Canis lupus familiaris: one gene and its partner. The protein of the gene in region 1 interacts with the protein of each later gene in a pairwise test. Links are inferred from orthologs where the notes say so. Each region holds a gene or a part of one and is shown in the gene's direction. Other genes may lie near its edges. The genes, in order: PEG10 and EXOSC5.

Region 1 (3,813 bases):
TTTTTCCCCCTGGTGCTTTGCTGTCCAGGATTGTCTAAGGCATTGCTTGCCTTATCTCTCACTTAACTGGATCCTTTAAAAAAAAAAAAAAAAAAATTTAAACTCTAATAATGTAAGCTGTAATTATAATACAAAACTATACATATTTAAGATATTCAAAATAGCTTTTTAAAAGTAAAAACAAGCTAATTGGCTATTTAAATTCAGGGTGAGTGGACTACTTCACAATGGTACATAATTGTCATATTTACATTTTGTATAATGTAACATAAAGTGGTTACATTAAAAAATAGATTGGAGGGTTTTAGCTGGCATTATAAAACATACACATAAAACATCTGATGCCTTACCTCCAGTCAGATGTACCATGTTTATGTTTCTAATAAAATGAAGAAATTTTAAAACCTGGTTTCATATATTGTAAGCCATAAGCCAGGACTCTGACTCCCAAATATCTGTCACCCACCCCCTAATAAATATGCAATTTACATATCTTTATGTATTTATACTTGTGGTAATTACAGCTTTCAGTTAATCCCCAGCCCCCCCCCCCCCCCCCCCCCCCCGTCACCCTACCCCCACTTCCTTTCGAAATTCTATGTTTTTTTTAAAGTTCAAAACAATGGTAAAAATATGCATATTAATATAATTTGCATTTCACAAATAGTATACATGGTACTAAAAAAGAAATTGGGACATTTGAAAATATAAAGCAATTAAGAGTTGCTTAATGAAGTGTCATTTTCTAATGAGATGTTTAATGTGCAGTGTTTTTTGGCTACTGTTACTTTTTGGTGTGTTTGGGGAACAAGTTTTTAGAAGTCTTCAAGAAGAGTCAAAGGTCAATCAAATGTATTTAATTCCTATATAGACTAACACTGGATTCTTTTTCATGTGTAAAGGTGACATCTATCCCATGTGACTTGGCTCAGTACTGTGTGTCATTTCAGGTTTTAGGAATGGGGCCTTTGGGCCTGACCTCCACAATCCAGCCCCTAGTAAGGGGTGGGAGGTGCAAATCAAGTCACAGTGCTCCTGTTCCCAAATTAACTGGTGCTCTAGTTGCTATTTAAATATCTTTAAGCTTTATTTACATTGAATGTTAACCTGCCTGCCGACTATCCTATGTTTTTTAAAGGTTACACTACTCTTCTCTGGGCAGTTATCTCCTTTAGGATTTAGAATCCCACACCAAAATTAAAAATCCCAGGGGTGGGTACCTGATGCCTGATCTTGGTAAAGGTCAGGGGTCTCACACTGGTGACCTTGCAAGTCAAATAAGGCCCTTAATTTATTTGACCAGCACTGGATTAAAAATATTTTAAAGAATTGAATGTTTCTGGGGAGGGGACATGCATCCCTAAATTACATAGTCACCAGCCCACTCCTTATTGTCTTAACTCCAGTTTCTTCTCACTTTTATGTTACCTTCCTGTCTACTAAAATCATTTGCATTTTAAGCCCTTATTGATCTTTTGATTCCTTAAACAATATACAATGATTGTTTGCTGATTTCTGAATGTGTTGTTATATCTGTCCTATTATTATGTTTTGCAGATATTAAAACCATGAGACTGGAACCTCAGTAAAGCTCCCCCCAATGACTGTGATTGACATGTGGGTTGTTAACCTTCCTGACCTGGGTCAGGCAACGCCAGGCCGAGCTATGAAGGCCTTTCCAGAAGTTTTCTAAGTTTTCTAAGTATTAATGTCTAGATACAGAAGTGGCACTTGAGTCACCTGACTTGTGTTTATTGTTTTTTAATGGGACATTAAAGCTTTTAATTTAAAAAAATAAAGATTTTAATTTAATAAATCAAAATCACACTATTTTGTGACTAATCCAGGGCCTCATTTTTTTTTCTTGTACCCTATTGATTGAAATATTAGCTATTTTTCACATAACTTCTTTGAATAACACATTTATCTTTGTGGGCTTTAATTAATATAATTAATTTAGTGTCCATTATTGCCTTGATGGGTCAGAGAAGAACAGGTGACCAGGAATGCCAAGTTAAAATTTAGTGAATGGGCAGTCTGCCTGCTTTTACAAATTATGGTTTTAAACTTTTGAGCGCTTTCCTAAAGTTTTCCAAATATGAGAACTTAATGCTCATTTAAAAATTATAAAAAGTTAAAATTAAGTTACTATAAATGCATTTAACCCTCATTTTAGGAAGTACATAAACACTGCTGGATTTATTGTATGTGTGATTTATTGTCACCATACCCATAATTAAGACCTTAATCCCCCAAACCCCCAATGCCCCCCATGTTGCTACTCACCACCTAGGAGTACAGCCCTATCCTGCTCTAAATTATAAACTTTTGGGTGGGACTGTGCTGACAAATCTTGTTTAAAAACCAGAAGTTGGAAACTGGTGACCTGCAAATCAAATGAGGCCCTGGATTTGTTTGGCCAACAGCGTATTCCCCCCTCCCCCCCCCCCCAAAAAAAGTAATGTCTTTAGGTGGGAAATGCCTGCCTAGGTTGCCATAGTTGCAGGCCCTCCCTGTTTTAATCTTAGCCTCTTTACACAGAAAGTTACCTTTCTTATTAATATCAGCTAACAGTTGTTAAGTATTCACTGCTTTACCTGCATTACCTAATTAAATCCATACTGTAAATTTGAGGTATTCTCTTTTTGGGCTTTTTTGACTGTCCCATTTAATAGCCTAGCTCTTCCTAGGAGGCATCAATTAACATTTGTTGATGAACTGCATAATAAGGAGAGAGGCTGATACACAACGTTGCTGCTCGGTGCCACTTCTGTCCCGAAGGGAATTCTCTCTGGGAAATCAGATTATGTTGGATTTAGACAATCTTGTGGGTTTCGTGACCGTTGTTGTTGTTGTTGTTGTTTGTTTTGATAATCAGTTAGTGACCTTCACCATGGAGGTAGTGCCCTCTTCCCTCCCCCGGCTGATGAATACAGGCAGTGTGATTTAAATCCCCCACCCTTCTTTTTGGTTCCCTATTGGCTGGATTATTAGCTCTTTTTCAGGTAACCCGTCTAATAACAATTATCATTTTGGCTTTGTGTTTTTAATTTGGTCTCCATCTTTGACTTGAAAGTTTCTTGCTGTGCCCTCCTGATCCAAACTGGTATTTTGGAATGTCTCCGCATTCTTTTACGGTCAGTGAAGGTAAACTTGCTGTTGATACCGGTATGCATTGTTGTTGAATCATAATAGGTGACATTTGATGAGGAAAAAGGTCATTTGGACGTTAAAAAGTAGGGTGCTTTTTGTTACTACCTATTGTCTTAATTGATTATTAACTTGTTTCTCCCTTTTGCAAGATCTGTGTTTGTTTATTAAATATTAATGTAAGCAAGTAGAGCAAAGAGATACTTTAAATACTCATGTATTTAAAGTATTTTAGTGGATACTTTAAATACTCATGTATTTAAAGTATTTTAATGGCTACTTTAAATACTCACGTATTTAAGGTACTTTAGTGGCTACTTTAGATGCTAAAATCTTTTTTGTAGTGTGCTGCTTTGAACGTGGATGATAAACTTCTGCTTTTATCTTCCTTTACAGAAACAAAAAGCTTTTGAAAACAAAACGAAGAAAGGGTGGAAGAGGAGGCCAGGATCAGGGCCTCCATCCCCACAGGAGCGAAGCTACACCTGGGAGGTCTCCTCCCACGCCAACCCTCACCCTGGGGCCCGACTGCCCACCTCCTCCTCCTCCTCCTCCCCCCAACGGCCCCTCCTCCTCCTCTTCCTCCTGCTCCTCCTCCTCTTCCTCTTCTTCATCCTCACGCAGCGCCCCAAGGGGCCAGTACATCCCCAACCTGGCCGAACG
Region 2 (4,360 bases), on another chromosome or scaffold:
GTTAGCATTATAGAAAGGGGAACGCGCCCCTCTGTTGAGGTCCGGAGGGGCAGTCCTCTGTCCAGCATGTGGGGGACAGGAACCCGCCTTCCCAAACACTACTCTCTGACCTGGGAAATTTCAGTTCATGGTTCCGCAGCCCAAGGCCTCTCTCCCACTGAACGAGCTTCTAAGTTAGACTTCCGCTGTGTGAACTTACAGTTTGCAGCATCAACCCAAGGGAATTCTGACACTTTTGATAAGAATTGAGGCATCTCTCAAGTGTTACCCAGAAATGTGGGTGGGATGACCAGGTGGCTCAGTGGTTGAGCGTCTGCCTTCCGCCCAGGTCCTGATCCTGGGGTCCTGGGATCGAGTCCCCCATCAGGCTCCCTGCAGGGAGCCTGCTTCTCCCTCAGCCTCTCTCTGGGTCTCATGAATAAATAAAATCTCAAAAAAAAAAAAAAAAAAAAAAAGAACAATAGTAAAACAAACGCAGCGCACTATAAAAGCCCGCGTCGGAGAAGCTGATCTCTCTTTTCTCCTTCCTGAGGGGGAGCCACACCCGGAAGCCTCAGCCTCGGGCAGTCGCAGTCTCCAACGCCTGCGGGGCAATGTCTCGCCGTCCCACCGTGTCCCTCCACGCGGCCTCCCGTGGGCATGAGTGGCAACTAAAGCGGAACCCCTTCTCTCTCTCCAAGTTGTCTCCCTCTCTCCGGGCCCACAGAGGAGGCTGCCTCACTTCTCCTCTCCTGAGGGAGTGGAAGTTCTTCCCGAATGTCCTCACGGAGCAGCTCTCTCAGCCCCGGTCCCCTCTGTGACAGCCCTTCGCTCACTCCCTGCACGAACCCCACGTCGGAAGACGGCGTTGACATCCCTATTCTCCCTCGGGAAAAACTCCCCAGGTACTCACAGATCTAGCCAGCCCCCGAGCCCAAGGCCGGCGCAGGAGCAGGAGACCAGCCTGGCCCAAACCTCGACTCGAGCCCCAGACCCTCGCTGCCGCCGCCGCCACCGCCATCTTGGCTCACAACCCCTCAGAGCTCCGCCCCTCTCCTCGGCTAGACTGGGGGCTGCCCCTTCAGGAGCCTGACTCAAATGCTAGCACCGCCCTGCCAAGAAACCACCAGCGACCCACCCTGCAGTCTCCAGGGCACGGGTACGGGAGGAACAAACAATCTAGCTTGCCAAAATTACTCTCATCACCTCATCTTAGTTGTTTCTGTAACAGGCAAAGGAGAGGACAACCTGACCAGAGCCTTAGGGCTTTAGGGCGCGGGGGCTTCGGGTAGGACGAGTCCATGCCAAGGCCCGCCCTCTCTTCGCTACTCTCCAATGGGCTTGCGAGGCGGGAGTGGGAGGGGCCAGATTGTTAGTAAACGCGGAGCCACGTGCGGGAACGGGTCCTGGCGCCCCGGACCTGCGCGTGCGCACTGGGCACGCAGGCTGGACGCCCGCGCGCGCTCCCGTGCGGAAGCGAGGTTCCGCAGCGGCACGTGGGGTCTGGGGCGATGGAGGGGGCGCTGCCGGCGGACGCCAAGACCTGCGCGGAGTCTGGAACAGAGTCCGGCCCTCGGGGCCCGGGCTGCAGCCTCCGGCACTTTGCTTGTGAGCAGAACCTGCTGTCCCGGCCGGATGGCTCTGCCTCTTTCCTGCAAGGTAAGGACTTACCCTAGGCAAATACTGCCTGTGCCACGTTCGCCACGTTGTATTTGTTTCGGAAGGTTACAGGTTACCGTGCAGAGGAGTGCCACTAGCTGGTAAGTGTCCCTCCTGCACGGGTGGTGCAGTTCTTGCCCGGGAGGATACTCCCGGATATGCCGGAGTAACGTATCCTGCGCTCCCGGCTAGAAGGGAGACGGTATCGCCACCGTGGTAAATACTCCGAGGAGAGAGGCGCTCAGCAGAGTAAATATCTCCCTTGATTAAATTCGTCTCCCGCCTCCCCCGCGGACACCCCGGGTCCATGCACGCCAGGCTGCGGCAAACCTGCCCTTGCGCGTAAATAGACCCGCAAATCAACACTACCGGCTTCATTACTCTCTGGACTGCGGGCATGTCTTTTTGTCCAGGTAAATACTTTTCAGAGTATTTGAGAGTGATTGTGCGGTATATATCCCTTTGACAGCAATACACATCTCTCCATACGTGTAAATATCCCTAGGTTTGGGGCAGGCTTTCCCTATTGGGTAAAATATCTCCTTCCCGTGACCAAATGCATCTCAGCTCCCTGCCCCGGGTGAATATTCCTCTGAAGATAGCCTAAGAATCACCCCCATAAATGCTTCAGCCTCCTCACTAGGGGCATTACCTTCTACCCAGGTACAAAACCTGTTTTCATTCATTCCTTCATTGAACACGTGTATTCGCATTAAGCACTGTCCTGGGTCCTGGGAATACGTGGATAAAATACATTTTATTTTATTTTATATTAATTTTTACTTATTTATGATAGTCACACAGAGAGAGAGAGAGAGAGGCAGAGACACAGGCAGAGGGAGAAGCAGGCTCCATGCACTGGGAGCCAGACGTGGGATTCGATCCCGGGTCTCCAGGATCGCGCCCTGGGCCAAAGGCAGGTGCCAAACCACTGCGCCACCCAGGGATCCCAATAAAATACATTTTAAAGGGATGCCTGGGTGGCTCCACGGTTTGGCTCCTGCCTCCGGCTCCCTGCATGGAGCCTGCTTCTCTGTCTGCCTCTCTCTCTCTCTCTCTGTCTCTCTCTCTGTCTTTCATGAATAAATAAATAAATCTTAAAAAAAATTTTTTTTTAAATCCCTGACTTAACAGTTTATGTTCTAGTCGAGGAGACAGACAAAAGATAAGTAAAATATGTAGGAAGGGGATCCCTGGGTGGTTCGGTGGTTTGGCGCCTGCCTTTGGCCCAGGGTGCAATCTTGGAGTCCCGGGATCGAGTCCCGCGTCAGGCTCTCACATGGAGCCTGCTTCTCCCTCTGCCTGTGTCTCTGCCTCTCTCTCTCTCTCTCTCTCTCTGTCTATCATGAATAAATAAATAAATAAATAAATCTTTAAAAAAAAAATATGTAGGAGGGCAGCCTGGGTGGCTCAGCGATTTAGCGCCGCCTTCAGCCCAGGGCGTGATCCTCAAGACCAAGGATCAGGTCCCTCATCGGGCTCCCTGCATGGAGCCTGCTTCTCCCTCTGCCTGTGTCTCTGTCTCTCTCTCTCTCTCTCTCTGTGTCTCTCATGAATAAATAAATAAAATCTTTAAAAAAAAATATGTCGGAAGATGCCTATGGAGAAAAATTATAGTAGGGAAAGGAAATAGGGTGTGCCAGAGAGGGTTGCGATCTTAACCGGATAGTCAGGAAAGGCCTTGATGAGATGGTAACATTTGAATAAAGACCTAAAGGTAAGGGAGCAAACCTTGAAGATAAGCAGGAGGAAAAGCATACCTAGGATGAAGAACTGCAGGGGCAGAGGCCCTGAGGCAAGGATTTGTCTGGTGTGTTTGAGGAATAGTCTGTAGACTGTGTGGCCAGAGCAGTGAGGAGGCTGGGGAGAGCTAAGGAGGATTGCTTGTCATGTGATGCATAATGAATGAGCTGGGGGCCACTGCTTCCAAGTTTTGCTCAGAGGGTTGACATGATCTGGATATATTTTAACAGAATCTCTCTGCTGCAGTGTTGACTGTATAGATATGAGAAAGAAGGGGAGATGCGGTGGCTCAGACCAGAGTGGAAGCAGTGGAGGTGGTGAGATTCTGGGTGTATGTATGTTGAAAGTAAAACACAAAACTTGCAGATGGTTCAGTGTTGGAGTGTGAGAAGGAGAGGGATAACACCAAGATTTTTTTTCCAAATCAGCTGTACTGGGAGATAAGGAGTTCAATTTGGAACATTAAGTTTGCAGTGCCTGGTGGACATCACAGTGACTATATGGACAGGGCAATAGGATATAGAAGTCTGCATTTGGGAGGAGAGACCCAGGGGCGCCTGGGTGGCTCAGTCAGTTAAGCATCTGCCTTCAGCTCAGGTCATGATCTCAGGGTCTAGGATCCCACCCAGCATCAGGCTCCCTGCTCAGTGGGGAGCCTGCTTCTCCCTCTCCCTCTGCCTGCTGCTCCCCCCTTGTGCGCGCTCTCTCTCTCTCTCTCTGTGTCAAATAAGTAAATAAAATCTTAAAAAGAGAGAGACTCAACCTAAATATATAATTTGGAATTCTCTGGCTATAGATGGTGTTTCACACTATTGATTGGATGAAATAAAGAGAACAAGTGTAGGTGGAAAGAGAAGAGGTCACAGACTAAATCCAGGGTTGTCTAACCTGTGAGGAGCTAGGAAAAGACCAGAGAAAAGCAGCCAATAAGGTGGGAGGAAAACCCAGAGAGGACACTGACCTCAGAGGGGCTCAGAGA

Evidence for each region.
Region 2: the proteins of PEG10 (region 1) and EXOSC5 interact in binary tests that used the Homo sapiens proteins (3 or more experiments, as listed by UniProt). The link is inferred for Canis lupus familiaris from reciprocal best matches to the Homo sapiens genes PEG10 and EXOSC5.

The regions. Positions count from the first base shown.
Region 1 is NC_049235.1:20,083,898-20,087,710, forward strand, and holds part of PEG10 (retrotransposon-derived protein PEG10), read left to right. Parts: intron 1-3,546; 5' UTR 3,547-3,667; coding exon 3,668-3,813.
Region 2 is NC_049222.1:113,383,113-113,387,472, forward strand, and holds the start of EXOSC5 (exosome complex component RRP46), read left to right. Parts: upstream 1-1,399; 5' UTR 1,400-1,490; coding exon 1,491-1,638; intron 1,639-4,360. Other genes in the region: BCKDHA (2-oxoisovalerate dehydrogenase subunit alpha, mitochondrial), read right to left, coding at 893-1,000. UniProt on the Homo sapiens protein: Non-catalytic component of the RNA exosome complex which has 3'->5' exoribonuclease activity and participates in a multitude of cellular RNA processing and degradation events.